4 linked regions of the Macaca mulatta genome follow. The protein of the gene in region 3 binds, or shares a complex with, the protein of the main gene of each other region. Links are inferred from orthologs where the notes say so. Each region holds a gene or a part of one and is shown on either strand. Other genes may lie near its edges.

Region 1 (7,246 bases), about 42 Mb from region 3:
AGTATGCATGGTAAATCAATGGCTGAATGCTCTGAAATTACTAAGACAACATTAAAGGCTGATTCTAAAATGTTTTTATTTAGATTGACATCTACTTAAACTATATACCAAACTGGGCTTGGGACGTAGGCTTTAGAAAGTATCGGTAATAGTGCATTCTTGTTAAGTTTGGGATTTTTGCCAGTTTTTGGATTCTGTGGGCTTGTCTTAAGGTACTTCTGTGAACTTTTCAGCGGTTTGTAAAACTAGTGTAAATAAATATTCTACCCAGTTGAGAATTAAGGTTTATTGTGCTAAAAATTAAATGGTGGTTGATTCTTGGCAGACATGTTTGATCACCTTTGCAAGCTTAAGGCATCTTTTGGAGTGTGTGTCTTGGAATCTACAAATTCTAAGTTTCTAATTGATAACTTGGCAATTAAATCCGGTCTCAGCTCTAAACTTAAATATTCTGGAATATGTACCACCTGTGATACACATAAATTACCCATCTCAATCTAGACAAAAGCCATTTGAGTCTGGAAACAGTCCAGTTTTACAGCTGAATAACTAGGGGAGCCTGGGTTTGAATCCAAGTGTAGATGACTCTAGAATGCTTCCACTTTTCTAACTTAATTAAGTAGAGGGGCCTGTCTATAGATGAGTGGTTTTCAGAGTGTGCTGTAAGGCTCTGTACAGATCTTTTGGAGTTTGATAAACAGTGAAATATCTTTTGCTTGAGAAATAATCAGTCATCTTTTTGTTGTATACATTTTGGTTCTCTCATAGTTCTGTGGAAGTTTCTCTAAAATATATGAAATTTTCTTCTCTAGGGAAATTTAAGACCTGTTGAATGAATAAATATTAGAAAATAAAAATACAGACCGGGCACAGTGGCTCAGTACTTTGGGAGGCCAAGCAGGCAGATTGCTTCAGTCCAGGAATTCGAGACCAACCTGGGCAACATGGGGACTCCCTGTCTCTACAAAAAATACAAAGAAAATTAGCGAGAGTGGTGGTGTCAGCCTGTGGTCTTAGCTACTGGGGAGATTGAGGTGGGAGGATTGCTGGAGCCCAGAAGACCCAGGCTGCAGTGAGTGTAGATTGTGCCACTGCACTCAGACCTGGGCAACAGTGAGACCCCGTCTCAAGAAAAAAGAAAAAAAAAATAGTTCTGGCACGACTGTGTCTATTTTCAATTATATTTCTTTTCCTAATGTTGTTTTGTGTAGCCTGTATTGTAAAATGAGGTTGAGGTGATTGGACACACTGTTAATAGAGTGAGGAAGTGGGTAGAGTTAAAATTTCTTGCTGAAAGTGGGTAATCTGCAGTTCCTTGCATTGGGTTCACTCCTCACTGCCAGCTCTTGCTGCATTTGGAGGCTGCCCTAAGCATGATGTAATGACAGGTTAAACCTCTGCACGCACTAGCTGATGCAATGCAAATCTGAGGCCCAGGACTTTATTGGGGCAAGGGTAATGCTTGTTTAAAAACAAAACAAGCTACTCTGTGTTTAATGAGGCCATTTAAGATGGCTTTCCCAGAGTGGGAAGAGTATAATCTCTTAGGAGGTTTAAGTAGGAGTTTAATGTGGCAGAAGTGTGCTTACAACTTTTCCTGCGAAGTCTTTTCACAGCGGGGAAGGAGAGTTTAAAATATAGTGCCCATAGGAGTAGAAATGAAGTGAGCTAGAATTGAGTAAATATGGTAGTTGATGCCCGGTAAATAGCTGTTGAATGAATTAAGGAGAATGTTTTCACTCTAAAAATTAAGTTTGCACGATGAACCGGGAATGTAGCGCCGGTGTGGGCACGCATTTCCCAGATACGCCAGATACGCTGTAGCTCTTAGATCGAACCGTGAGAAACTGCCGATATTCGACTGTTGTGACCTACCGAAAACAGCATGGTTCTACCTAATTTTAAACTGGTGGAAATGCTGAGGAAGGCTCGATGTCGCTGGGGTGGGATGGGGTCAACAGCGGGGTGGCGGGGCCCCGCCCTGGGCTGCGGGGCGGGGCTTGCGGGCACAGCCCCACCCCTGCGCGAGCAAGACGGGCACCGCCCTGCGCGCTGCGCGCCCTGAGCTGGCCCTGGCGCCCCGGGTTGGAGTGGGCGTTCCCAACGCAGGCCCAGCCCCGGCCGAGGCTCCAAATGGCTCTCCAGCAGGCAGGCTTCTGCAGTAGCCCCTGAGCTGGCTCAGGGAGCGCACTTCCTTCGCAGTGAGCGCGTCGCCCCCTGCATCCCCGGCCTCCACCGGAGCTGGGGAGCTGGGCAGTAGCCTACGGAGTGAATCTGGAGAAGACAAACTTGGGAGACAGACGAAAGCTTAGGGCACACTGGAGGACAGCGCAGCTGTGGCTCCCATTTTTGGAGATGCAGCCGAATTTGAGCTCACAGGGAGGTGTGGTTGCCTCCTGGGGATGGGAAGGCTTCCTTTCTCCACCTCTGTAACTCGTGCTTCTGAGAAGTAAATGGATATTTGGATCCTGACCTCAGACGCGAATTTGGGTCTTCTGTGCTTAGGAGCAGAAAGTGCCCAGGAGGGGCCTGTTCCTTTACTTCTTGGGGGAAACGCAATGCGCGGCCTGACTTCTCATGACGGGAAAGGCTACTCCACCTTCTCTGTACTCCTGGAGGGGAGTCTTGTTCACATGTTTACCAGCGGCCAGGACAAGGAAGAGAAAAGGTATTGACATTAAGAGGATAGGTTGCTGAGGCTATGAAGCTTGAACGCTATTAGTCAGTGGAACCTGTCTGGCTTAGGGAATGGCTGCAGCAGAATCCAGCCGTTTCCGAGGTTCTCAGTCATGTTTCATTTGGGTTGCTGTGCTTTTTTATGTTTAAATCAAACTTCAGGTTACGTCATGACTTCTGCAGGGCTGTCCTTAGTTCCTACTGCAGGGCGGCTGTGTGGTTGGGATTCCTTTTCTGTTTCAAGATGGAGCTGGGTTCCACCCTTGGAGCTTTGAGAGGCTTTAGCAGTTGCTGTCCTGTAATACCTCCATTCACAAGAAATACCGTTCACATTTCAGTTCTTTTTCACACTTTGAATAGGAGTTAAAATGTGCTTTCTATAGTGTTTGGAAAATGGTAAAGATGTATTGTGAGCCTGAACTGTTGATGATAAATGTATAACTATTGCTAGGTCAAGAAATTGTGAACAACAGTGTTTTTCTCGGTCTCTAGCTATGTTGTGTTAAATATAAACTGAGTTTACTGCCCTTGGATGTGATTCCTTGGTTTGGTTTAGTAATCTGAAAGGCATTGGTTGACTAGACTGTTTTGTGCCCAAGGAACCACTTTGTAATTGTTATGCTGCTTACTGAAGTAAACTGGACCATGCAGTAGGCATACAGCATACAGCCAGGGTGTTTTGGCAATACTGAGCCCACTGTTTTACAAGTGACATAAAATGGATGTCATATGTACAAAGAATCTACTCAGAGGGAAACTGGATTACAGGAGAGCTCCTTTATAGTCCTTTGTCAGGGGACAGAACACCTGGGTCACACTGGGCTTCAGATGAGAGTTGATTCATGTTCTGAGTCCGTATGATGAGACACATTATGATGGAATTCTGTCACTTTTGTTGCCTCTTGAACTTTAAAATATCCTTTTAGTGATGTGGAATTAATCTTTATTTTTCCTTCACCCTAAGCCCTCATTTAAGCTATCAGTTGGTAACCACTTGGGTAATCTAGAAACCAAGTTGCATTTACTTGGTCACATTGGTAACCAACATTGTTTCTTAAAAGTTCCCTGCAACAGAATAATGACTATAATTGAATTAAAACATTAATTTTGAAGCTTTAATTTTGTAATATGGCTTAGTGGCCGGGCGCAGTGGCCAATGCCTGTAATCCCAGCACTTTGGGACGCCGAGGCCGGGGAATCACGAGGTCAGGAGTTTGAGACCAGCCATGGTGAAACCCCGTCTCTACTAAAAATACAAAAATTAGTCGGGCATGGTGGTAGGCACTTGTAATCCCAGCTGCTTTTGAGGCTGAGGCAGGAGAATTGCTTGAACCTGGGAGGCAGAGGTTGCAGTGAGCAGGCACCATTGTACTCCGGCCTGGGCAACAAGAGCAAAACTCCATCTCAAAAAAAAAAAAAAAAAAAAAAGAATATGGCTTAGTAGAGTTACTAGGAGTGCACTCTTAGGACATCGACTGATCTTTTTTTCCACCCCCAAGACAAATAGTGGCCTGCAATATCCCAGCCCAGGTAGCTTCCTGGGAAAAGTTGCTTGTTTTATGTTTGACTCAGCTTGACTAGTTACATTGTCGATTATTTCTTCCAGATGACATTTACTTGTTAAATAACGTTGATTACTCTGCTGATGAATGTTTCAGCAACGCTGGAGAACCCTAGGCTGCAAGGGGTTCTTCACCTGTTGACTTCATCCCCCACCCCCAGTATGGTATATTATCTCTGCCGTGCTATCATCTTTATTCTTTCCTTTTTCACTGTCTCTTCCTGACTCTCCTCCTTTGTTCATTATGTCTGATACATATTGTGGATTGAAAGTGGAACAGAAAGATGTACTTTCTCTACCAGACTAAAAAGTTTTGAGATGGCCCTCCATTTCTCCTATGTCTCCCTTCACCTTTGTTGTGTGTTTATTTTTATATTTTTGCTACCTTCACTAGCGAGTACATCCCCTCACTCTTGAGGTGAGCACTAATCAGTAAGAAATAAGATTAATACCTGGCTGATGATAATTTGGGGGGAAGACTTAATTAGGTAAAGATGGATAATGGGATGGCAGCAGACCTTTCCCCTTGTGACCCCTCCCCTCATTCCCAAAGTACACCTCTAGAGTAGATAATGGCTTACCATTAAGAAGAGTTAATGGAAGGTTCTCTGATTCTTTGGCATTGGAACTACACTTGTCCCGCGGTATCCTCGGAAGATTAGTTCTAGGACCCCCTTCCCCATACCAAAACCTGAGGATGCTCAAGTCCCTGATAGAAAATGGTGTCGTATATGTATGTGCATATTCTCCTGTATAATTTAAATTATCTCTGGATTACTTAATACAATGTAAATAATACGTAAATAGTTGTTATAGACTGTATTTTAAAAATTTTGTATTATTTGTAAATTTTTCTGAATATTTTCAATCCATGGCTGTGGTGAAGTCCTTGGATGCAGACCGTGTGAATACAGAGTGCCGATTTTATCCAGGACTTCACCTGTAACTCCCTATACCTATCAATAGCTGACTCCAAATTAGAAAGAAATAAGAGTAAGGGAGTCTCAGGGAGAGAGTCCTAGCAAAACGGATTCGATTAAACTTCAGTTCCTTGTATAGTTTCTCTAGTTGTTTATGGTCCATCTTCTATTTTAGCATTTATTATTCCATGTAGTCTATCCAAAGACGATTAAGGGAGTTCCAAATGTTTTCCGGAATATTTTGAAAAGAGAGCTTATCCAGTGTACAGATCCTAATAAAGTGCACATTCAGTGTAATTTTATTTTTTAGTATGTTACTTTTTAAATTCTATTTATTTTTCTTTCTCTTTTGCTCAGTAAATTTTGCATGAAACTTTAAAAGTACTTCTGGCATGTAAACATTATTTGTAAAATAAGTCATGGTTATAATTATTTTTCTCCTGCCTCCTTATGTATTTATTTCAGAAATGAGCCGTCAGACTGCTACAGCATTACCTACTGGTACCTCGAAGTGTCCACCATCCCAGAGGGTACCTGCCCTGACTGGCACAACTGCATCCAACAATGACTTGGCGAGTCTTTTTGAGTGTCCAGTCTGCTTTGACTATGTGTTACCACCCATTCTTCAATGTCAGAGTGGCCATCTTGTTTGTAGCAACTGTCGCCCAAAGCTCACATGTTGTCCAACTTGCCGGGGCCCTTTGGGATCCATTCGCAACTTGGCTATGGAGAAAGTGGCTAATTCAGTACTTTTCCCCTGTAAATATGCCTCTTCTGGATGTGAAATAACTCTGCCACACACAGAAAAAGCAGACCACGAAGAGCTCTGTGAGTTTAGGCCTTATTCCTGTCCGTGCCCTGGTGCTTCCTGTAAATGGCAAGGCTCTTTGGATGCTGTAATGCCCCATCTGATGCATCAGCATAAGTCCATTACAACCCTACAGGGAGAGGATATAGTTTTCCTTGCTACAGACATTAATCTTCCTGGTGCTGTTGACTGGGTGATGATGCAGTCCTGTTTTGGCTTTCACTTCATGTTAGTCTTGGAGAAACAGGAAAAATACGATGGTCACCAGCAGTTCTTTGCAATTGTACAGCTGATAGGAACACGCAAGCAAGCTGAAAATTTTGCTTACCGACTTGAGCTAAATGGTCACAGGCGACGATTGACTTGGGAAGCGACTCCTCGATCTATTCATGAAGGAATTGCAACAGCCATTATGAATAGCGACTGCCTAGTCTTTGACACCAGCATTGCACAGCTTTTTGCAGAAAATGGCAATTTAGGCATCAATGTAACTATTTCCATGTGTTGAAATGGCAATCAAACATTTTCTGGCCAGTGTTTAAAACTTCAGTTTCACAGAAAATAAGGCACCCATCTGCCTGCCAACCTAAAATTCTTTTGGTAGGTGGAAGCTAGACACATGAAGGTAAATGAAAGGAAAGGCTGTTAAATACAGGAAACAGTTGCATGTAGTAACACTAATATATTTAAAAATAAGTCAACAGTAAACCACTGAAAAAATATATGTATATACACCCAAGATGGGCATCTTTTGTATTAAGAAAGGAAGCATTGTAAAATAATTCTGAGTTTTGTGTTTGTTGTAGATTGATTGTATTGTTGAAAAATAGTTTTTTTGTTTTGTTTTTGCGTGGGAGTGTGTGCGTGCGTGGGTGTGTGCGTGTTTGGGTTTTTCTCCTTTAACTGACAAGCCATCTTGAGTGGTCATGGGCCACTGCTTTTCCCCTTTGTGAGTCAATACATAGTGCTGCTGTGTGCTTTTTTGTGTGTGTATTTGCTAATTTTTATTAATTTTAGTTTTTCATTAAATAAATTTGACTTTCCTTTCTGTAATTCAGGTTTTTCTTCACTTTTTTTGTACCATTTTAAAGTTAGTGTCTTTTGATATGCATACTTGTTATGGTAAAAGTTTGTAACATGTGTTCAATATTTTCTTTTCCCCCATTAATCAGTTCATTAGAAATATTTTAAAATCAGCTACTTTGTGAAGCTATGAGTTCCAGAAAGTAAAGGTGACATCGGAAAAATGATCAAAAGCTATTTAAAGCATCTGTAAGATGG
Region 2 (7,084 bases), on a different chromosome or scaffold from region 3:
CCTCAGAGGGCGCCGCGCCCAGGCTCCGCCCCTCGCGGGGCGGAAGGGGGAGCAGGGGCGGATCCAACACAGCTGGGGGCCTGCTGGCCTGGCAGAGGGACCTGGGAGAGCCGGGGGTTCACTTAGGAACAACAGGGTTTAGAGGAGGAATTTTACACAGACTGTTTCGTAGTGTCTTGACTCAGCTTTTATTGCTTTTCCAGATCCACCTCCGACCCTGAAGCCAGAGACTCAGGTGAGATTTCCTTGATCTTTGCAGCCTAGTAGCCCTGCCTGACAACGCCCCCGCCCCCCTTTTCTAGACGCCTCACTTAGGGACTGTGTCTCTGAGAATGCCCTTCTTAAACTGTGTGGCTTTCCATGTGATCCATGTCTCCTTCCTTTCAGCCACCAGAGAAACGGCGGAGAACAATTGAGGATTTCAACAAATTCTGCAGTTTTGTTTTGGCATATGCTGGTTACATCCCTCCTAGCAAAGAGGTAGGGGCAAGAGAATTACTGACTTGAGGCTCGTGTCGTGGGACTAGAGAGTGGCTGTTGTTCACATAGAACTGTACTGCTTTATAGGAGGAAGCCCCTAGAAATATGTAAGACTAGAGGGAAGTTGGAGATTCTTAGGACTGTGGTAGGAAAGCTGGTATGCAGGGAGTGGATGGCAGGGCTAGCTAGCTTGAACAGCAGTGAAAAGCAAGGGGGATCTGGAGTTGCTGGTCGAGATTTTGGCAGTCTTGAGGTGCTGTGAATAGAAGGTGTTTATGGATAAATTTTAGGGAGATGAAAATGGTAACAAATGAGGCTACACAGAAAAAGAGCTAAGGACATAAGGCTCTGGTCTGGGGGACACCGTGTTCCACAGGCCCTGGGCGGGGCAGCGGTGAGGTATCAAGACTCGAAGGTGGAGGTAACACGGAGTGGTCAGGAGGACATGCTGATGGGAATTGGGGTGGGGAGAAGTTTTGGGAGTACAGTGGGATTTAGTGGTTGAGGTAGAGGACATTTTGGGGTAAATCTAGTCACTCCTTTTCAAGCTGGGTTTGTGGAGGGGCTGAGATGACACTGGGGTTCTGCTGACCCTGGACTCTTTCCCCTTTTAAGGAAAGTGACTGGCCCGCCTCTGGCTCCAGCTCTCCATTGCGAGGAGAGAGTGCGGCCGACAGTGATGGCTGGGACTCGGCCCCCTCAGATCTTCGAACCATCCAGACTTTTGTTAAGAAAGCAAAGTCATCCAAGAGAAGGGCAGCCCAAGCAGGTCCCACCCAGCCAGGACCCCCAAGGTCCACTTTCTCTCGTCTGCAGGCCCCCGACAGTGCTACCTTGCTTGAGAAGATGAAGCTCAAGGACTCTCTCTTTGATCTCGATGGGCCCAAGGTGGCATCTCCTTTGTCCCCCACATCCCTGACACATACCTCCCGGCCCCCTGCTGCTCTTACCCCCGTGCCCCTTTCCCAGGGGGACCTCTCCCATCCTCCTCGAAAGAAGGACCGAAAGAACCGAAAGTTGGGGCCAGGAGCTGGGGCTGGCTTTGGGGTGCTTCGGAGGCCTCGGCCAACTCCTGGGGATGGGGAAAAGAGATCTCGAATCAAGAAGAGCAAGAAGCGGAAGTTAAAAAAGGCAGAACGGGGGGATAGACTCCCACCTCCTGGGCCTCCCCAGGCACCCCCCAGTGATACAGACTCTGAAGAGGAGGAGGAAGAAGAGGAAGAGGAAGAAGAGGAAGAGATGGCAACAGTGGTAGGGGGAGAAGCCCCAGCCCCTGTGCTCCCAACACCCCCCGAGGCTCCTAGGCCCCCTGCCACAGTGCACCCTGAAGGAGTCCCTCCTACTGACAGTGAAAGCAAGGAGGTGGGCAGCACTGAAACAAGCCAAGATGGAGATGCCAGCTCCAGTGAAGGCGAGATGCGGGTCATGGATGAGGACATCATGGTAGAATCAGGTGAGAGGTTTGGGCTGGGGCGAGGGGTTTGAGGGTGTTGTGGATCCAACAACTGCTCAGGCAGAATACCAAACAAACCTTTTTTCCCCAGGTGATGACTCATGGGATCTGATCACGTGTTACTGTCGAAAGCCCTTTGCAGGGCGGCCCATGATTGAGTGCAGCCTGTGTGGGACGTGGATCCACCTCTCCTGTGCTAAGATTAAGAAGACCAACGTCCCTGACTTCTTTTATTGCCAGAAATGCAAGGAACTGAGGCCAGAGGCCCGGCGGTTAGGGGGGCCTCCCAAATCTGGAGAGCCCTGACGGCACCAACTTTAGCCTGGAACTTCCAAATGATAACATGATTTGGGAACTGAGCCTCAGGGTCCTCAGCCTACCCCCTGGAGCTTGGATACTGTCCGCACTTCAAGGCAGGAATTCCCAAGGGAGACTTGTTTGAAAATGAGTGTCTCACTTTCCTACCCTATCCGTCCTCCCCACTCTGAACTTGAAATTGAACCCATTACGGTTGCGGGTGGGAGGCTGTCTGTGTCTCTAGACACATAATCTCTGTCTCTTGGACCTGCCACCATCACTTTCTGGGTCAGGATTGGAATTGGGATGGAATGGGACAGTTGTCTATAAAACTCTAGTGTAAATATTAGCACTCCCCTCCCTCATCTTTTCTTCTATTTCACTCCCCATTTATTTTCTTCTACACCGGTTGTATTTTTAATTTTGGACTTCCCCTACTGGGCATGGCAGCTCAAAGGTGGAGTACTAGAGCCTGGCCAAGCAAGGAAGGAAAGCAGAAAGGTGACGATTCTCACTCACCTCTTTTTAATAATATTGGCCGCTGTTTGTACAGACAGCCTGCGTGTTGTGAATAAAGCAGAGTGGGCTCTTTTGTGTTTATAGCCCTCACTGTCCTGCTTGGGAGGGAGGCTTTGGTGGCTGAAGACTAGCTGGACGTGGTGCTGAAAGCCACCTCTCACAGTCCAGTCTGAAGATGGCACAGCACTGGGCCTCTCCCACCCCAAGATACTTGAGTAAGCCACCTCAGAGCTTTCATTGTATTTGGCCCTCCCCACTCGAGTCTAGGAACCCCCACAATCCCCACCTTCACTCCCTGCACGCACACTCCTGAGGGTCAGAGTTGCTTCGCGCTCCCGCCGGTGTGGGGTAAAGCCGGGTGGGAGCCGACTGTCCGCTTCCTGAGGGCACAGGCCAGCTTATCCTGGGTGCTCGGAGGACCTCGGCTGGGGTACACCTTTGGGGGCTGGGAGACCGTTGCCGAAGGCAGCGATCACGTGGCGGGGGCACTAGGAGGAGTCACGCGGTCACGTGACTGGGAGGGGTCACGTGACGGGGGCGGCTGAAGAGCGCGGGGTGGGCGGGCTTAGGTCACGTGACATGAGGAGAGGTGGGCGGGGACCTGGAGGACGCTCGCGTTGTCGGTGGCGGTGGCGCGCGGCGGCCGCTGAGACCGCGGCTTTGAGTCGCACCTCGCGGCCCGCCCCCCGCCGCCACCCTTGCCGACCCCTGCTTTTTTCCCTTTGCTTCTCTCCAGTACTGGGTCCGTCCTGTCCGCGCTCGCTCGTCGGTTTGCGGGTGTGCGCAGGCGCGGCAGGGGCCATTAGCCCCTTGGGTGGGCGGTGGAGCCCGGGAGCGCGCGGGCGAGACCATGGCGGGCAGCAGCGCTGGGGGCGGTGGGGTTGGGGAGACGAAGGTGATTTACCACCTGGATGAGGAAGAGACTCCATACCTGGTGAAGATCCCTGTCCCCGCCGAGCGCATCACCCTCGGCGATTTCAAGAGCGTCCTGCAGCGGCCCGCGGGCGCCAAGTACTTTTTCAAGTCTATGGATCAGGATTTCGGGTGAGCGCAAGGCCTAGATAGGACCGACGGGGGCTTTGCTAGAGTGGATTGGGCGACGTGGAGGGGCACACATCTACTTCGGGCCACACTAGGATTTTCTGGCCTGTGGTGGAGCAGATTGTACCATGCTGAGGTAGGTTGACTCTCCCAGGATGGACAAGGTTATGCTTGGATAGATTGAGGCACACGGGCAGACTAGGATATCCTAAACCAGATTAGAGACGATTAGGCTCTACTGGAATAGGTGGGGGCATACTGGTTTATTTTGGAGTGTTTTAGACTGTACTGAGTAAATTCATTTATCGTCTGGTCGTTTAGTACGTTCTCAGGAGTCCTGTAACGCCTGTAATCTCAGCACTTTGGGAGGCCGAGGCGGGCGGATCACGAAGTCAGGAAATCGAGACTATCCTGGCTAACACGGTGAAACCCCATCTGTACTAACTAAAAATACAAAAAAATTAGCCGGGCGTGGTGGCGGGCGCCTGTAGTCCCAGCTACTTGGGAGGCTGAAGCAGGGAGAATCGCTTGAACCTGGGAGGCGGAGGTTGCAGTGAGCCGAGATCGCGCCACTGCACTCCAGCCTGGACGACAGTGCAAGACTCCATCTCCAAAAAAAAAAAAACACCAAAAAACAAAACAAAACAAACTTGGGCCATTATGGACTCTACTGGGCTGTATTGGTTAATCCTGGTTTATCTTGGGGCAAGACATGGTTTTATTGGAGCACTCAGTATGGGGGCAGACAAGGCTGTTGGTGCCCATGCTAGTACAGGTAGCTGTATTGGGGTATTCTAGTCTATATTGGTGCAGACAGCTAGCTGCGTGTGGGGACATTGTAGGCTGTGCTAGAATAGATTGGGCTATCCTAGGGTAATTTGGACATTCAGGGCTATCTTGGACTAGATTGGCATGTAAATAATGCAGAGAAAGCCCTTTTGTGTTTATGGTCTTTGGGGCTGAGCCCTCTCTGGGTCCTCAACCTCTGCTTTTTTTTTTTTTTTTTTTTTTAAAGACAGAGTCTGCTCTGTCGCCCAGGCTGGAGTGCAGTGGCTGATTCTCGGTTCACTGCAAGCTCCGCCTCCCGGGTTCACGCCATTCTCCTGCCTCAGCCTCCCCACTAGCTGGGACTACAGGCACCCACCACCACACCTGGCTAATTTTTTGTATTTTTTTAGTAGAGACGGAGTTTCACCGTGTTAGCCAGGATGGTCTCGATCTACTGACCTCATGATCGGACCGCCTCGGCCTCCCAAAGTGATGGGATTACAGGCGTGAGCCACTGCGCCCAGCCCAACCTCTGCTTTTTTGAAGGCAGGCTGGATTAAGTTGAGATAGCATGGGTTTTAGAAGAACTGAACAAACTGGACTCTAGCTAGAAAGATTGTTTGACATGGGAAGGGTGATACTATCTTGGGAGTTATCTTGGCTTTAAGTCAAGGTTCTTCTAGTTGTCAGCAGTGCAATCTTGGACAATTAATTTAAATTTTGTGTCTTGATCTCGTCTGTGACATGGAGAAAATCACAGAATGAAATGGTTAGTTCAGGTGTGTGGTACATGGTAAATTCATGGTGAATGGTAATTGTCATTAGTATTGAGGCTGACTACTCTATAAAGGTTATGGTGATACACAGTAATTTGTCTTAAGAGTGGACTGAGCTATGCTGAGATTGTGTTATGTTGGGAAGAATCCTACATGATGCTGACACAGATTGGTAGTGACTGGGCTGTGTTGTCACATTGACAGCAAATGGATTAAGTTGATATATATCCTGGCTCTTATGACCATATTAGGCTAACGGGTTAATTAGACAAGGTGTCCTAATTTGGCGGCAAGGGTGTGTGTGGAAAGAGAGAGAGAAACAACCAGGGCAGAGAGTCTGATGCTTTATATGTTTATTCATTTAGTTGACAGTATTTGTTAATGCCTAAGTGTCAGTGTGTGGTGTGTGGCCAGGACATGGTGTTGATCAGAGTAAGTGTTCATGGTTTGATGTCGTGGTCAAGAAGAAGGGGCAAGTCCAGTCCACCACAGGGAACCCATTGGAGAGATGACCCCAAGGCTGGGCTTTGGGATCTGTCAGGCTGAGCAGATTGCTTCGTGCCGAATTTTGTGCCAGATGAGGCACAGGGGAATGGGAGCGCCAGCTTGCTCTCTCCTTGGGAGCTTTCAGTCTAATGAGGAGCTTCCATTGTTTGTTTGATCTAATGGTGGGTGGTTTTGTTTTTTGTTGTTTTTTGTTTGTTTGAGGTGGAATCTCACTCTGTTGCCCAGGCTGGAGTGCAGTGGCGCAATCTCGGCTCACTGCAACCTCCGCCTCCTGAGTTCAAGCGATTCTCCTACTTCGGCTTCCGGAGTAGTTGGGATTATAGTGTGCACCACCGTGCCGGGCTCATTTTTGTATTTTTAGGAGAGACAAGGTTTCATCATGTTGGCCAGCTCCTGGCCTCAGGTAATCCACCCACTTTGGCCTCTCAAAGTGCTGGGATTACAGGTGTGAGCCACTATGCCTGGCCTCTAATGGGTGTTTTTACTCAAGAAAGGACAGTCTTCTGGAAATGAATTAGTGAAAACTAAAGGCAAGTATAAAAGTAGAGACTTGGTTGAGGACCGAAGCCTTTTTTTGGAAGGTTTTTTTGTTTTTTTTTTTTTTTTTTTGAGACAGATTCTTGCTCAGCCGCCCAGGCTGGAGTGCAGTGGCACAGTCTTGGCTCACTGCAACCACTGTCTCCTGGATTCAAGCAACTCTCCCGTCTCAGTCTCCTGAGTAGCTGGGATTATAGGCACCCACCATCATGCCTGGCTAATGTTTATATTTTAGTAGAGACGAGGTTTCACCATGTTGGCCAGGCTGGTCTTGAACTCCTGACCTCAGGTGATCCGCCCACCTCAGCCTCCCAAAGTTTTAGCATTACAGGCATGAGCCACCGTGCCCGGCCTTTTTGGAAGGTTTGTAAGGAACAGGGATGGGCTTGAGAGGAGGCTACCAGCCAGTCTCATTAGATAGGTATCTTAGGCAGCTGCATCAGCATAGGGGATTGCCTTTGAAATTGTACTGAGAGGTTTGAATCAGACTCAGTCAAGTCTTTGGAGCAGCACTACGCCCCTGAGGGTGCGTTAGGGAGAGGAGAAATAAGGAAAGGGGATTGAGTTTGGAGATTTCTTAGGTGTCAGAGTGAGTTCTTTCAATGTAAGAGAAGACCTGAACAGGGCGGGAGAAAGTCAGCATCCTGGAGCCGGGTGAAGATTGGGAGGAACTTTGATGGGGGTGGGGGTGGGGGTGGTTGGTCCA
Region 3 (6,545 bases):
TGCCGGTCTCTGCCTCCCAAAATGCCAGGATTACAGAAGTGAGGCACCATGCCTGGCTAGAAACCCTCTTTTTCGTACTGCTGGGCACCCACGCACCCCTGCAGGGAGTGGGCACCCCAGCCCTCACACTCACCTGTAGCTGCCCTTTTTGGTCAGCAGCTCCTTGAACTGGCCCAGGGTGACAGCGCGGCCCCTCACCAGGGTGCGGTAGGGGATAGGCTCCCCACAGAAGTAGTATGCCACAACGATGCTGTCACACGGCTGGGCACTCCCGCCGCCCGCCTTCCTCTGCGATCTCGTCCTGGGGAAAGAGATGCAGCAGTGGTCCCTGGTTTTGGACTGAGGTCCCACAGGGTGCCTCCTGCTGGCCTCAGGCTGCCAGCAAAGGGTGGGGCAGGCCTGCAAACACCTGGGGCCCCAGGCCCCACTGCCCCCCCGCCCCAGCATCTCAATCTGGGGTCTACTCCACCAGCAGTGGAGTCTGACTCCACTCACTGGCAGCACAAAGGTCTCCCCGCTGCCTTACAGCCCCACCCTCGACTGGACAGGGCCTGGCCACTGGGCGCACTGTAGCTCTCACCTCTAGGATGGCAGGGCAGGCTGCATGGCTCCTATGCCAGGAAGACCTACGGCCCCCAAACCTTAAAAACATCTCAAGGGCAGGGATTGGACAAACAGAACTATGCACGATTTCTGGATGAGCCTGACCCCACAGTGAAGTCTGTCCCAGGACTGTTGCGGGTGCGGCCAGCAGGCCCTTCAGAGGGGGTGGGGCTGGCACCGTCTCCTGCCCAGGCTGAGCTGGGCCCTCCTCTTACAGGGGCTGTGCTTCCACTCACACCCTCTGCTTGGCTCCCCTGCCACCACCTGTCCCTCAGATGACTCCAGAAGCTGCCCCTGGCCCACTGGGGTTCAGGCCTCGGGCCTCCTGCTGGCTGCGTGCACTAGAGGCTGCCAGAGCCGACATCATGGCAGGAAGGCCTCACGGCCACCTCAGCCAGGTGACCGTCCACTTCGCACACCAAGGCCCCCACCCACCTGCATTCTTGGACTTTCTCCCAGAGCCACATCCTTGCAGCCCCCTGGAGCCAGGCCCATAGGAGAATGAGCCAACATGTGGGGGCTGCCCCAAGGACGGGTGAAGGCCCCTCCAAGACCCCCTAGAGGATGACAGCCACAACAAACCTGCATCTGGGGCAAGCCTGGTAATGCCTGGGGGACCCCTGTTCTCAAGGCCCCTTTTGGGATATGCCCCTCCTGCCACCTTGAGCACACAAAGGCGCCACTGACACAGCCCATGTGGGATCACGTGGTATGGACACAGTAAGCCTTTCTCACGGGCTCGGAGTGGTCAGCACTGCAGGTGGGAGCAGAGCCCTGACTCACGGACTGCACGGACTGGACAGACGCACATAGTTGAGACCCACACTGCAAGCTGACGCACCTCGCGCACCTAAACACCTGCAGCCCCGACCCTGCTCAAGCCAGGTCTGCGGGGACCAGCCAGTTCCAAGCCGGGTGGGGCCAGGGGCAGGGGTAGGTCTCTGCCCCACAAGGGGCCTCCCATGACACCTGTGTGGATACAGGGCTGGCTGTTCCCAGGCCTCCAGCCGGGCCTGTTGGTCACTTATCGTCATGCTGGACAGTCAGCATCTCCTCTGATGGAGACGGGAGAAGGCTCTTGGGCAGCTTGGAGTCTGATGCCGTGGGACCCTCTCCTGCCACAGCTGCTTCTCAGCGTGGTACCTGAGCTCAGGCCCCAGGACGGCGGCTCTACCATGGGACCTGGCTTGAGACGCCTGGGCTGGGTGGGCAGGACCAGGAGGACCCTCAGGACGCACGTACTCTGTCTCGGAGAGCTCCATGTCCGACACGGCTGGTACCACGCGCAGCACTGGCGCGCACGCTGGCCTGACGCAGGCGCGTCCCCGCCGCATAACCTCCTGCACATACCTAGGGAACAACCCGCGTCAATGGTGGCTGCGCCGGCGGCCACCAGCCCTGGGGAAGGAGCCTCGACCAATGCTGCCGCGCAGGGACAGACGGAGCATGAAGGGGCTGTACAACCTGCCCCGTGAAGGCTCCAGTTTGCAGGGTGGACAAGACACCAAACCCCCTCCTAGGCCTCAGTGGTGCCAGACACTGCAGCACACTCCACACTCACGATCTGGGTACCAACCCCCCTGTTCCCCAGACCGCACTTTGGGGAGCTTCTGATCTGGGGTCCTGGGATCCTACCACCTCATCCCCTCTGGTGGGACGCCATCTCCTCCCGAGAGCCTGTCCTTGGGTCTCTGGCATGAATTCCCCACCAATGGCGTGGACACTGGCTCTGGGGTGTGGCAACTCTGTCTGCACCTCAGGGAGGCTGAGAGCCCCCCGGCGCCACAACTGAGGCCATCCTGGGGCAGCACGGCAGCTCCTCTCACGTGGACACCTCCACCGGGGTGCACTGGGCGACCCTGATGGTAGTTTCTACTCTACAGCCCGACAGGGCCCAGCACCCGACCTGCCTCTGGGCCTTCACTCCAAGTCTCCACAGCTTCTCGCAAAAACGTGTCCCCTGGACAGACAAACCCAGCAACTCTGGGTTTCCCCACAGCATCCAAACAGGGGCAGGAAGGTCGTGTCTCAGAACGGCGGCAATGGTTCCACGGCTCAACGGGCATCCCCTGCCATCATGTAGGGCCTGTGGGTGCCCGGGGAAAGGGCAGATGCAACTCGAGAGACCCCTGCTCAGCCCAACAAGGGGGCTCAGGAAGCCCCAGCAGGAGAGAGCACACAGGCCCAGGGCCTTGAACCTGCTGCACATGATGCCCACCCCCGGCTCATCTGCCAGCCCGGTCACACGCCCCAGCTCCGAGCACCACACACCAGGCTCCTGCATGGCACGGGGCTCTGGCTCCTTGTTGGCTGAACGAGATCACAGGGTCACAGACGTTTGGCCATAAAGTGATCACCCTTTGGGTTTGAGGTAACTGTGACCCTCTCTGGCCCCAGAGCTGTCATTAGGCTGAAACTTTAATGACTTGAGACCACACAGGCTTTCGGCTGGGAAGGGTCTGAACCCTGATGCTGGTTTGGCAGAATAGGGCCCCTGGCCCCAGCCTCCCTGGAGTGGCACAGCCCCAAAGCTGGAGGCCCAGGAGGTGGGCCTGGACCCCAGGCCCCAGGTGACCCAAGGTGGACAGGAGGAGCTGGTGACCTCTGAAGGCAACCATGGCCTCTGTGACCACAGCCCCAGGGCCTGCATGAGCTACAGGCTCCCAGGACCCTCACAGAGACCCTGATGTGTGAGGAATTCCAATGACCCAGGATGGCCGAGAAAACTGGCCTCAAGAGCAAAAAGCTGAAAGTGGAGAAGGCAGGTTCTGGCCTGCAGCAAAAACGCTGCCGGAACAAAGGAGCGGCCTCGCTGCAGCCCAGGCAGAAGCCAGCCTGCTCTGGGGAGAGAACAGGGTCTGGCTACTGGGGCCCAGAAGGCCAAGGAAGGCTTAGCGAGGAGGGGCTGGGGGCTGGACGTCCAGGATGACAACTCTACATCTGCACAGGTTGCAGACCCACGTAGTTTTCCAACCGCGTAGAGCCACTCAGGGCTCGTGGGGTGCGATTGTCAAGAGGCAGCCGCCATGCCTCCAGGACCCCTGCCTCAAAGCCCAGGCTGCCCAGCAGTCAGCAGCCTCTGGCTGGGACCAGTGTTCCCCACACACTGGGGCCCTGCAGACGCGGCTCAGGTTCAGGAAGGACCCCCCTCCACAAGAGCAGTGAGCACAGAGGCCTTGGGTGTGTGAAAGCTCCGGCCCCAGCCCTCCGTCCACCGCAGGGTCGCCTGCCACATGGCTCCTCAGTGGTTCTCAGTGGAAGGAAGGGCCCAGTATGGCTGGGCGACACCAGAGGGCCGTTTTTCCCCTGAAGACCTCAGGCCTTGGGGAGCTTCAGCCCCAGGAATGGTGCTGTGGTAACTCCCAAGACCCACCCCACCCCACGATGCGGCCGTACCTCTGTTTGGAGGGTGCCCGGCTGGCTCTCTTTTCTTCCTCCTCCAGACGTCGGCGCGCCTCCTCCAGCTGGGTTAGGGGGTTGGGAGCTGGGTGGGGTGGCATCGTGGGGTCTTGGATGAAGAGGTGGGAGGGCTGCACGGAGGTCCGGAGCTGAGGGCCGGCCCAGGGGTGCACGGCCGCGGGGCGCTCAAGGGACAAGGGTCTGGAGTTCTCATGGGGCTGTGGCTTCCTTGTCCCTGAGGACCTTGGGGAACAAGAGAACAAGCTGTGGCTGTGGCCAACACCCTGGCCAGGTGGCCTGGTGGGGCTACACCCATCTCACAAGGGCAGCCTCCTTCAGGGGTAGGATAGGATGGGCTACTGGGGCCTGGCCACCAAGACACATGGATGTCCTCCTCAGACCACACAATAAAAACATCCCGGCCGGGCACAATGCCTCACGCCTATAATCCCAGCAGTTTGGGAGGCTGAGGTGGGCGATCACCAGAGGACGGGAGTTTGAGATCAGCCTAACATGGTGAAACCCCGTCCCTACTAAATATACAAAAGTAGCCGGGCGCCTATAATCTCTGCTACTCTGGAGGCTAAGGCCAGAGAATGGCTCGAACTGGGGAACTGGAGGTTACAGTGAGCCAGGATCACGCCACTGCACTCCGGCCTAGGTGACAGAGTGAGGCTCGGTCTCAGAAAAAAAAAGACAACAAAAAACCATCCCTGATTTGCCTGTAATCCCAATCCTCTGGGAGGCCAAGGTGGGCGGATCGCCTAAGGTCAGGACTTCAAGAAGAGCCTAGCCAACATGGCGAAACGATGACTCTACTCAAAAAATACAGAAAATTAGCCAGGTGTGGTGGTGGATACCAGTAATTCCAGTTACTCGAGAGGCTGAGGCAGGAGAACTGCTTGAACCTGGGAGGCAGAGGTTGCAGTGAGCTGAGATTGCACCACTGCACTCCAGCCTAGGAAAGAGTGAGACTCCATCTCAAAAAAAAACAAAAAAACCAAAACAAACAAACAAAAAAAACTGGCCAGGCACGGTAATCCCAGCACGTTGGGAGGCCGAGGCGGGTGGATCACCTGAGGTCAGGAGTTCAGGACCAGCCTGGCCAACATGGTGAAACCCTGTTTCTACAAAAATACCAAGTTTACTGGGCATGATGTTGGGTGCCTGTAATCCCAGCTACTCGGGAGGCTTAGGCAGGAGAATCGTTTGAACCGGGGAGGTGGAGGGTGCAGTGAGTTGAGACCGGCCTATTGTACTCCAGCCTGAGCAACAGGAGCAAAACTCCATCTCAAGAAACAAAAAAGGCTGAGCGCAGTGGCTCACGCATGTAATCCCAGCACTTTGGGAGGCCGAATCACAAGGTCAAGAGATGGAGACATCCTAGCCAACATGGTGAAACCCCATCTCTACTAAAAATACAAAAATTAGCCGGGCGTGGTAGTGCACGTGCTGTAGTCCCAGCTACTTGAGAGGCTAAGGCAGGAGAATCGCCTGAACCCAGGAAGCGGAGGTTGCAGTGAGCCGAGGTTGTGCCACTGCACTACAGCCTGAGCAACACAGTGCAACTCTGTCTCAAAAAAAAAAAAAATCCTTTCATGGTGACTTTTTTCTTTTTTTGAGACGGAGTTTTGCTCTTGTTGCCCAGGCTAGAGTGCAGTGGCGTGATTTCGGCTCACTGCAATCTCCGCCTCCCGGGTTCAAGCGATTCTACTGCCTCAGCCTCCCTAGTAGCTGTGATTACTGGCACCCGCCACCACACATGGCTAACTTTTTGTATTTTTTTTTAGTAGAGATGGGGTTTTGCATCCATTAACATTTGCATCCATTTAACAGCTTTACTGGGATATAAATTATATACTAATCCTAGGGGCCGAGGCTGCAGTGAACTGTGTAATTGCACCATTGCACTTCAGCCAGGGTGACAGAGAGACTCTGTCTCAAAAAATAAAAAAAAGTCTTAATGAATAAAAATTATAAATATGTTTCAAAGTAGAACGTATTAATACTTATCCTAAAATATGGGACATGCAGTATTTAGTATATACAGCTATATAAAAAAAGGATTCGGATGGGCGCAGTGGTTCATGCCTGTAATCCCAGCACTCTGGGAGGCCGAGGCGGGTGGATCACCAGAGGTCGGGAGTTCGAGATCAGCCTAACATGGTCACCCCCTCCGCTGTCTCTACTAAAAATACAAAAATCAGCCGGGCGTGGTGGCACACACCTGTAATCCCAGCTACTCAGGAGGCTGAGGCAAGAGAATCGCTGGAACCCGGGAGGGGGAGGCTGCAGTTAGCCAAGACTGCACCACTGCACTCCAGCCCAGGGGGCAGAGCTAGACTCTGTCTCAAAAAAACAAAAACAACAACAACAAAAAAAAACGCCAGGCGCGGTGTCTCACGCCTGTAATCCCAGCACTTTGGGAGGCCAAAGCAGGCGGATCATGAGGTCAGGAGATCGAGACCATCCTGGCTAACACGGTGAAACCCCGTCTCTACTAAAAATACAAAAAATTAGCTGGGCGTGTGGTGGGCACCTGT
Region 4 (7,049 bases), on a different chromosome or scaffold from region 3:
TAAATTGTTGGCAGCAAGCAGGAAAGAGACAGTTGGAAAGTTCAGAGAAACTACTGAATATTAGTTTCAATAGCTTTGTATTGTCTCATAAGCTTCTCCTTCCTCAAGTCCTCATTTTAGATTGAAATATACATTTTTTCCCCTATAAAATTTCCTCTTGGTCAGATTTTTAAAAATAGCATCAGCTGAAAATATTGAAGGCAGCAACAGTAAAGCTGCTAATCATATCCTTATGGAAGACTATTTCCATACCTATTACATACAAGAGAATAGCCATGTTTCCAAATTGTATAACTTAAACATTTGTTATTTATTTTCCAGCTGGTATAACTAGGAGTAGGGACGGGAAGTATAGAAGAGGTAGGCACGATTTAAAGTTTTGCCTCACAGCATTTTAGGGAACAGCGGCAAAGGTCTTTCATAATAAACAGCATGGAGAGGCACCACAGATGACAAGGTTGCCGAATTGAATTTGCTTTTAACATTCTTTACCCTCACCCATGGCATCCAGTGACCTTATGCTCTTTTCATTGCAAAGAACAAGAACCTCTACCGCTCTTAGGCTGTAAAACCTATTCTCAGGTTTGTGATTACAAACTGCCTGTTGGCCTCATCGGCCAAGGGATGTTTTTAGGTTGGTCTGCAGGGTTTGAAATATCGGTTATCAACATTTAAAAATACAGAGATTTCACACAAAAATCCAATTTTGGGATTTCTTTTGGGAGGAAAAAAAATTGAACATCTGAGAACACTGGACCCACATTCCTGAGGGCAACAATCTGCTAGAGCTGAGCAGCTGTTCCTTCTAGTTATGGCATGGATATTCCAATTTGCCATTTCCCCCATCATTCCCCATTGTCTTACACAAGGCCAGTCTCACTCATTTGCTTTACTTGTCTGGCCTCTATAGCCATCTGAATCTGCAAACACTATCTGGACCTTTCCTGTCTTCCATCAAAGCTTACTTTGTTCTGTCCCAAGTCCTTCATCAGTGTTTCAAAGCAAGAGCCAGGTAATCTGATCAAATTTAGGTCCTTTTACTTGTGCTTTCTGGAGACAGTATCCTAACTGAAAGAGATGATTCTGCAGGTAGAAATTACAGGAACCACTGGATTACAATCAGGATGGCAACTGTCTGTTCTACTTTCTCTCTCTTGACGTAGCCATACCTCACTGTTCTAAAGCAGACCAAAGGAACTGGTTCTATCGTAGAACAATGGACGCTGGTCTTACATATGAAATCTATTCAAGCTGCACTTTTATAGATCACCCTAATTCCAAAAGATCCAAAACTACCACGGGCTCCTCTAACCCCCCATTTCCTTGGAGGCTTCAGGATATCCGGCCTGACGGCATTTCCCCTCACCTGCTTTCGGGGCCCGTTTTGCGCTGGGCAGTTGCGCCCAAGGAGCGCGCGCATCCAGCATGAGCTCATTTCTCATGGGCGTTTCCAGAGGCCCGGCCGGGCCGCGCACACCAAGCGCAGCGGGCCTCTCTATCAATGGCCCCCGAGGCTGGGCGGGGCGCGGCCGCCCAAAGAAGCTTTGTTCCCATTTTAGCGTCTGAGAGCTTGCTGCCGGCTGGGAAGGCCCCCTTTGTCCGTCAGGCCCTTTCGGGGAAGAGGCCGACACCCGGCACACGCGATCCAGGGCAGAGGGGAGCCTTAGGCGCGCAGAATTGGCTGCGCCCCGCCGAGAGCCTCCTGTGGATGGGGAGAACCCCTCGACCCCTCTGCTCGCTTGAGCTCTTAGAACCCAGCGCCGCCGACCGCAGCACTTTCCGATTTGCTGCGCCTAGGGCAGGCGGTCCCTATGTGCGGTTTCCACCGTAGTTGGAGGCCGCAGGCGAGCCGTCGGGTCGTCAGCCACGACCCTAGTCGGGCATCTCCCAGGTCCTGGGACGGAGGCCGAAGGCCAATCACACTGCAGCTAAGTCTTGCGATTGGACGGCAGTGAGAGCCGATTGGCCACCGCCGCGAGTTTCGAGCTCCACCCTCTCCCTTTTGCCCCAACTCCAGCGCCTAAGCTTCCGGCCAATGAGACGGCGCTTTATAGACGCCCTCCCTTCGCTTTCTTCTCCCCACCTTGGAGAGGGAGGGGAAGTCCTGACTGGCCAAACTGTCCTCGGAAGCCCCCTTCCCTTCACCAATCACCGAGGGAGGTACGCTCCCAGCGGAGTTTTCCAGCCAATTACAAAGCGGCGGCGGCGCCCAACCGTGCAGTTTCACCAGCGTCTCTGGGTTTCACCGTCTTCAACTCTTCAAGCTTTTTCGTGAGGGCCGGCGACTCTGATTGGCCACTGTTGCCATTGTCGAATGTCTCCTCCAGCCAGCCACCGAACAAGGCGAAATCACCCTTTCCGTTCGGCTGCCTTCGGCATTTTCCGCTCTTTGGGCGTGGCTTTCCAGCGTCACTTTCTAATTGGTTTCTCAGGCCGATCGGCTTTTTCCGGGAGGAGCCGCAAACAAACGACGTCCGTGATTGGCTCCGTTCGGGCTTCGGCTCCCAGCCGAAGCGGGCGAGAGTGGGGCTCGGGCGGCGATTCCCAGACGCCTGTTACGCGGGCGGCGGTGCGCTGGGCGGTGTAAGGCTGGGTGGGGGAGGAAGGAGGTGGAGGAAGAGTAGGAAGGGGGAGGGGGAGTGGGGAAGTGCAAGGCGGCTGCGCAGACAGCGCTCCTCACACAGAGCAGCCCCTGACCCGGGCGAATGCGGGCTTGTGCCGCCGCTGCCGCCGCCGCCCGGGCCGAGTGACAAAGGAAGGAAGGAAGGAAGCGAGGAGGAGCCGGCCCCGCAGCCGCTGACAGGGTTCTGGGCTGGGGGCAAAGCGCGGACACTTCCTGAGCGGGCACCGAACAGAGGCGAGGGGCGGGAGGGCGGCCGAGCTGTTGCCGCGGACGGGGGAGGGGGCCCCGAGGGACGGAAGCGGTTGCCGGGTTCCCATGTCCCCGGCGTATGGGGAGCAGTCGAGGAGCCGCTGCCTGGGGTCTGAAGGGAGCTGCCTCCGCCACCGCCGCCGCCATGGCCGCTGGATCCAGCCGCCGCCTGCAGCTGCTCCTGGCGCAATGAGGAGAGGAGCCGCCGCCACCGCCCGCCTCTGACTGACTCGCGACTCCGCCGCCCTCCAGTTCGCCGGGCCCCCGCCGTCAGCCCGCCGGATCCCACGGCTGCCGGAGCTGCAGCGTTTCCCGTCGCATCTCCGAGCCACCCCCTCCCTCCCTCTCCCTCCCTCCTACCCATCCCCCTTTCTCTTCAAGCGTGAGACTCGTGATCCTTCCGCCGCTTCCCTTCTTCATTGACTCGGAAAAAAAATCCCCGAGGAAAATATAATATTCGAAGTACTCATTTTCAATCAAGTATTTGCCCCTGTTTCACGTGATACATATTTTTTTAGGATTTGCCCCTTCTTTTCTCTCCTCCCAGGAAAGGGAGGGGAAGGAATTGTATTTTTTCCCCAGCCGTAAATCATCTATATGTTAAATATCCGTGCCGATCTGTCTTGAAGGAGAAATACATCGCTTGTTTTGTTTTTTATAGTATACAAAAGGAGTGAAAAACCAAGAGGACGAAGTCTTTTTCTTTTTCTTCTGTGGGAGAACTTAATGCTGCATTTATCATTAACCTAACACCCCAACATAAAGACAAAAGGAAGAAAAGGAGGAAGGAAGGAAAAGGTGATTCGCGAAGAGAGTGATCATGTCAGGGCGGCCCAGAACCACCTCCTTTGCGGAGAGCTGCAAGCCGGTGCAGCAGCCTTCAGCTTTTGGCAGCATGAAAGTTAGCAGTGAGTATTGATTTTATTTTACGCCCCTTTTCCACTTCGCCCTTAAAATAAGAAATCTCGGAATACCAGGATCTGAAAATATTAGACTTCCTAATATAACAAACAAGCAATGGAAAAGGGCAAAACCTATCTTCAGTCAAGGATGAAGCAGCTCCCTCTTTACTCCTCCCATACCCCCTCCCCCGGTCTCATTAACCTTGAATTGAGATAATATGATTTTTATTTGGATGATTCGATTTGAAACTGCTTTCTTATACTTTTCTTGCTGTTGGTAGTGAGTTTCATCAAGTGCTTGAGTGTTTCCACGTTAGTGATGACCGTGTTTACTTGCCCATCCTTTAGAATAAAGAGAAGGACAAGATTTGATTAATAAACCATTGTGCACATTTGCAGAATGTATGTCTTTTGGAATAAGAGGGTATTTTAGGTCTCAGGATTTATCATAGTTTGGTATACTTAATAGAGACATTAAACGTCCCACCCTCCCAACATTTTTTTCTTGTCTGTATGACTACACATAGTATTTGTTCTTAATCTGTGGATGAACTTGCTCAGTAACCATTCACATTTGGAGGCTGTCATTGATTTCTCTCTTTAGAAGGGACTAGTGGGAGCCAATAAATACCCAGCAGCAGTAGCATCTCTGTATGCATTTGTGTTCGATTGGATTAGTGGTTTGATGTGTTCTCTCTTAACCTTCCTGTTTTGACATTACCAACCTGCCACCGTATAATTTATATTTAATCAAAAGGTAACATAGAAGTATTAATAGGTCCAGGTTTTGATTGAGATTTGTTTTGTCATAGTGCCAAATAGTAAGTTAAATGTTGTCACTGGCTCATTACATTTAAGTTCAATTTTGGAGTACTGTTGCGCTCCTGTTAAATGTTCTGGAGGGTTCCTTAAAAAGGACGATTTAAAATACTCTTGCGTTAGTTTCCATCACATTTAGATAACTGTGGATTTAGTTAGAAGAATGTGGCTTTAGTCCTTTCCATTTTGGCTTTTGCAGATGGCTGTGGTCCTGGAAATAATAGGGATATTTGGACTGTGTTCAGGGTTGTAGATAGACTACTCTTGTCCTGGGTTTGTGCTGAGAAGTATGCTTTTGAAGTGTTTAGTATATACTAAGTATCTAATGTTCCAGTGTATCTCTATTTATGGAGAAGTTCATGTGGTGTTTAATGACAGCTTGTTTAAACATACTTTCAGAATTTAACAAAAATATCTATGTTGTTTCCTTATTGTGGGAAAGAGGGTCATCATGAGGGCAAAGAAATTACTGTGTTGCTTAGAAGAACGGAGAGAACTAAAGAACTGAGATTTTAAGAACTGACACACACAAAAAACATGTATGTTATGTGAAATTGATTATATTCTTAGGCAACATAAAATGATCACTTTTAGTTGAACTCAAGATTTCATTTCGTGTTGGCTTTGGGAACTAGCCTGAAACAGGGTAGTCTAGGTAATAGCTGAATGGGAGATTATTTTTCAAAGTTAATTTTTTTTTCCCCCGGTGGTTTGCAAGTAGAGAATGCCGGGGTAGGAAAAGAGGACAGCTGATTATGCATCTTTCAGGGAAGGGTCGTGCTTTCTAAGCGCTTCATGGAGTCATTTGAAAAATATTTTAAAATTCCGGGGTAATTTTCAGCTATGATGATACAAATCTTATAATAACTACTTAAGAGCCTCTGTTGGTACTGGAGTGTTTGTATGTTTTACATCTTGGTAATATAGTTTGAAAACCAGTCAATCAATTTCAGCTAATTGATTTATTAGCTTTATTTCAGAGATCTATAATGCTAGATTATAATGCTACATTTTGGGACTTTTCATTTTCTTTCCAGGATTTTCTTTGAAATGACTTTTGAATTTTTGATAATGCAGATACTAAGGATGGAGTAACTCTTGTAAAATATATAGATGAAAATGTTTATTTTCTGATTACCGTATAGGTCAATTTAGAATTTAAAAAGTTGGAGTTTAGTGTTAATTATGTGTTTTTGACAGCTTTGACTTTAAAAACATTTAAAAGAAAGGGGAGTCTTTAAGCATTTGTTAGGATGCTAGCATTCTAAGGAACCCCTGTTGAAAACAGAAACATAAGAAATTGTAGTCCTTGCTCTCAAAAGCTTATTTGGTTGTAGAGGGAGGCTATGGGAAAAAAATTAAAACAATAGCATGATGACTGCTAGATTGTAAAATACAAATTGAATCATTTGTTCAGAGGGGCAAAGAGTAAAAGGGTGAGACTGATGGGTGGGAGAGGAAAGACTTCCTGCGGACAAGGGGTATTAAGACTGATACTAAAGGACGTGGTAACTTGAACTGGTAGAAAAGCATGAAAGGTCTAGGTGGAAGGAGTGTACCAAGGCACAAAGATGATGAGTTTTGCATGAGAGGCAATAATCAAGTTGGCAAATCGGAGTTAAAGGGGCCTACGTAAGAACATAAGAACAAATGGAATTTGAGAAATAAAAGAAAGTTAGCTGATGGAGGGCAGAGGGATTCTGTAAAAGTTTGATTGAGATTCAAAAGAGATCTGGATTTACTGTTGGCTGCTGAACAAGATGTAAGATGATTTTTGCAGTTGAATTAATGAATTATAGTAGAGAGATGCTAGAGCCTTTTTAGGGAGCTAGTAGGGTATGTTGTGAATCATGAGGGACTAAAGTAAAATGTGAAAATGGGGTGAAAGGAACAGGTTTGAGAGACAGTGTGAATGAAGAACTGGCAGAACTTCATACTGGACTGAAGTGGAATATTTGTGAAGGAGTCAAGAGTTAAAAATAAATACTGATGTTACTGGCCTGGAAGACTTCACTGCTGAGTTATATTGTTAATTGTAATGGGAAAATTGAGAAAGTGCTGAGGTGAGAGGGTAGGTGAGTTCACTTTCTTAAACTTTAATATACAATAAGTTCCCTTGAAATTCAGACAGCAGTTAGTTACTGGCAATGATATTTGACTTCCTAGTCTATTAATTGCACAGTTTCTTATTTTTCTACACCTAAAAATGTTGGATTTATATTTGGGAGCAGTAAACTAAGGGCTTTTATTTAAATGCTTTTCATCAAATTCCAATTTTTTTTTTTTTTTAAATACAGCTTCAAAAGCCTCACACTTGAAACCTAGTTATAATAGTTTCATGATAGTTTATTTCAAAACAATGAAAACACTTTTTGGACTAAACTGTGACAGAAACATTTTAGATATTTTATGTAGCCATTAACCTTTGATACATGCTTAAAACTTTTTTTTATAAA

The links.
Region 1: the proteins of AXIN1 (region 3) and SIAH1 are in contact, whole or in part, in a crystal structure (PDB 5WZZ), measured with the Homo sapiens proteins. The link is inferred for Macaca mulatta from reciprocal best matches to the Homo sapiens genes AXIN1 and SIAH1. Residues at the interface, in NP_003493.1 of Homo sapiens: Pro378, Lys379, Glu380, Val381, Arg382, Val383, Glu384, Pro385, Gln386, Lys387; in NP_003022.3 of Homo sapiens: Cys130, Pro131, Ser154, Thr156, Leu158, Asp162, Ile163, Val164, Phe165, Leu166, Ala167, Thr168, Asp169, Val176, Asp177, Trp178, Val179, Met180, Asn272.
Region 2: the proteins of AXIN1 (region 3) and DVL2 are in contact, whole or in part, in a crystal structure (PDB 6JCK), measured with the Homo sapiens proteins. The link is inferred for Macaca mulatta from reciprocal best matches to the Homo sapiens genes AXIN1 and DVL2. Residues at the interface, in NP_003493.1 of Homo sapiens: Arg821, Tyr823, Lys825, Lys826, Glu830, Phe831, Val835, Val836, Phe837, Glu838, Glu839, Lys857, Glu859, Asp862; in NP_004413.1 of Homo sapiens: Lys15, Ile17, Tyr18, Glu23, Glu24, Thr25, Pro26, Tyr27, Leu28, Val29, Val46, Leu47, Gln48, Arg49, Pro50, Phe81, Arg84.
Region 4: the proteins of AXIN1 (region 3) and GSK3B are in contact, whole or in part, in a crystal structure (PDB 4B7T), measured with the Homo sapiens proteins. The link is inferred for Macaca mulatta from reciprocal best matches to the Homo sapiens genes AXIN1 and GSK3B. Residues at the interface, in NP_003493.1 of Homo sapiens: Glu384, Pro385, Gln386, Phe388, Ala389, Glu391, Leu392, Ile393, Arg395, Leu396, Glu397, Val399, Gln400; in NP_001139628.1 of Homo sapiens: Ile228, Phe229, Val263, Asp264, Leu266, Val267, Ile270, Lys271, Asn287, Tyr288, Phe291, Lys292, Phe293, Pro294, Gln295, Ile296.

The regions. Positions count from the first base shown.
Region 1 is NC_133425.1:43,774,320-43,781,565, reverse strand, and holds the start of SIAH1 (E3 ubiquitin-protein ligase SIAH1), read left to right. Parts: upstream 1-2,392; 5' UTR 2,393-2,577; coding exon 2,578-2,668; intron 2,669-5,622; coding exon 5,623-6,473; coding exon of another isoform or gene 6,474-6,576; 3' UTR 6,577-7,246. Other genes in the region: LONP2 (lon protease homolog 2, peroxisomal), read right to left, coding at 6,457-6,576. UniProt on the Homo sapiens protein: E3 ubiquitin-protein ligase that mediates ubiquitination and subsequent proteasomal degradation of target proteins.
Region 2 is NC_133421.1:8,717,215-8,724,298, reverse strand, and holds the start of DVL2 (segment polarity protein dishevelled homolog DVL-2), read left to right. Parts: upstream 1-3,314; 5' UTR 3,315-3,599; coding exon 3,600-3,793; intron 3,794-7,084. Other genes in the region: PHF23 (PHD finger protein 23), read left to right, coding at 204-235, 388-480, 1,096-1,933, 2,025-2,239.
Region 3 is NC_133425.1:1,502,071-1,508,615, forward strand, and holds part of AXIN1 (axin-1), read right to left. Parts: intron 4,246-6,545; coding exon 4,000-4,245; intron 1,954-3,999; coding exon 1,846-1,953; intron 302-1,845; coding exon 134-301; intron 1-133. UniProt on the Homo sapiens protein: Component of the beta-catenin destruction complex required for regulating CTNNB1 levels through phosphorylation and ubiquitination, and modulating Wnt-signaling.
Region 4 is NC_133407.1:163,631,409-163,638,457, forward strand, and holds the start of GSK3B (glycogen synthase kinase-3 beta), read left to right. Parts: upstream 1-2,678; 5' UTR 2,679-3,692; coding exon 3,693-3,780; intron 3,781-7,049. UniProt on the Homo sapiens protein: Constitutively active protein kinase that acts as a negative regulator in the hormonal control of glucose homeostasis, Wnt signaling and regulation of transcription factors and microtubules, by phosphorylating and inactivating glycogen synthase (GYS1 or GYS2), EIF2B, CTNNB1/beta-catenin, APC, AXIN1, DPYSL2/CRMP2, JUN, NFATC1/NFATC, MAPT/TAU and MACF1.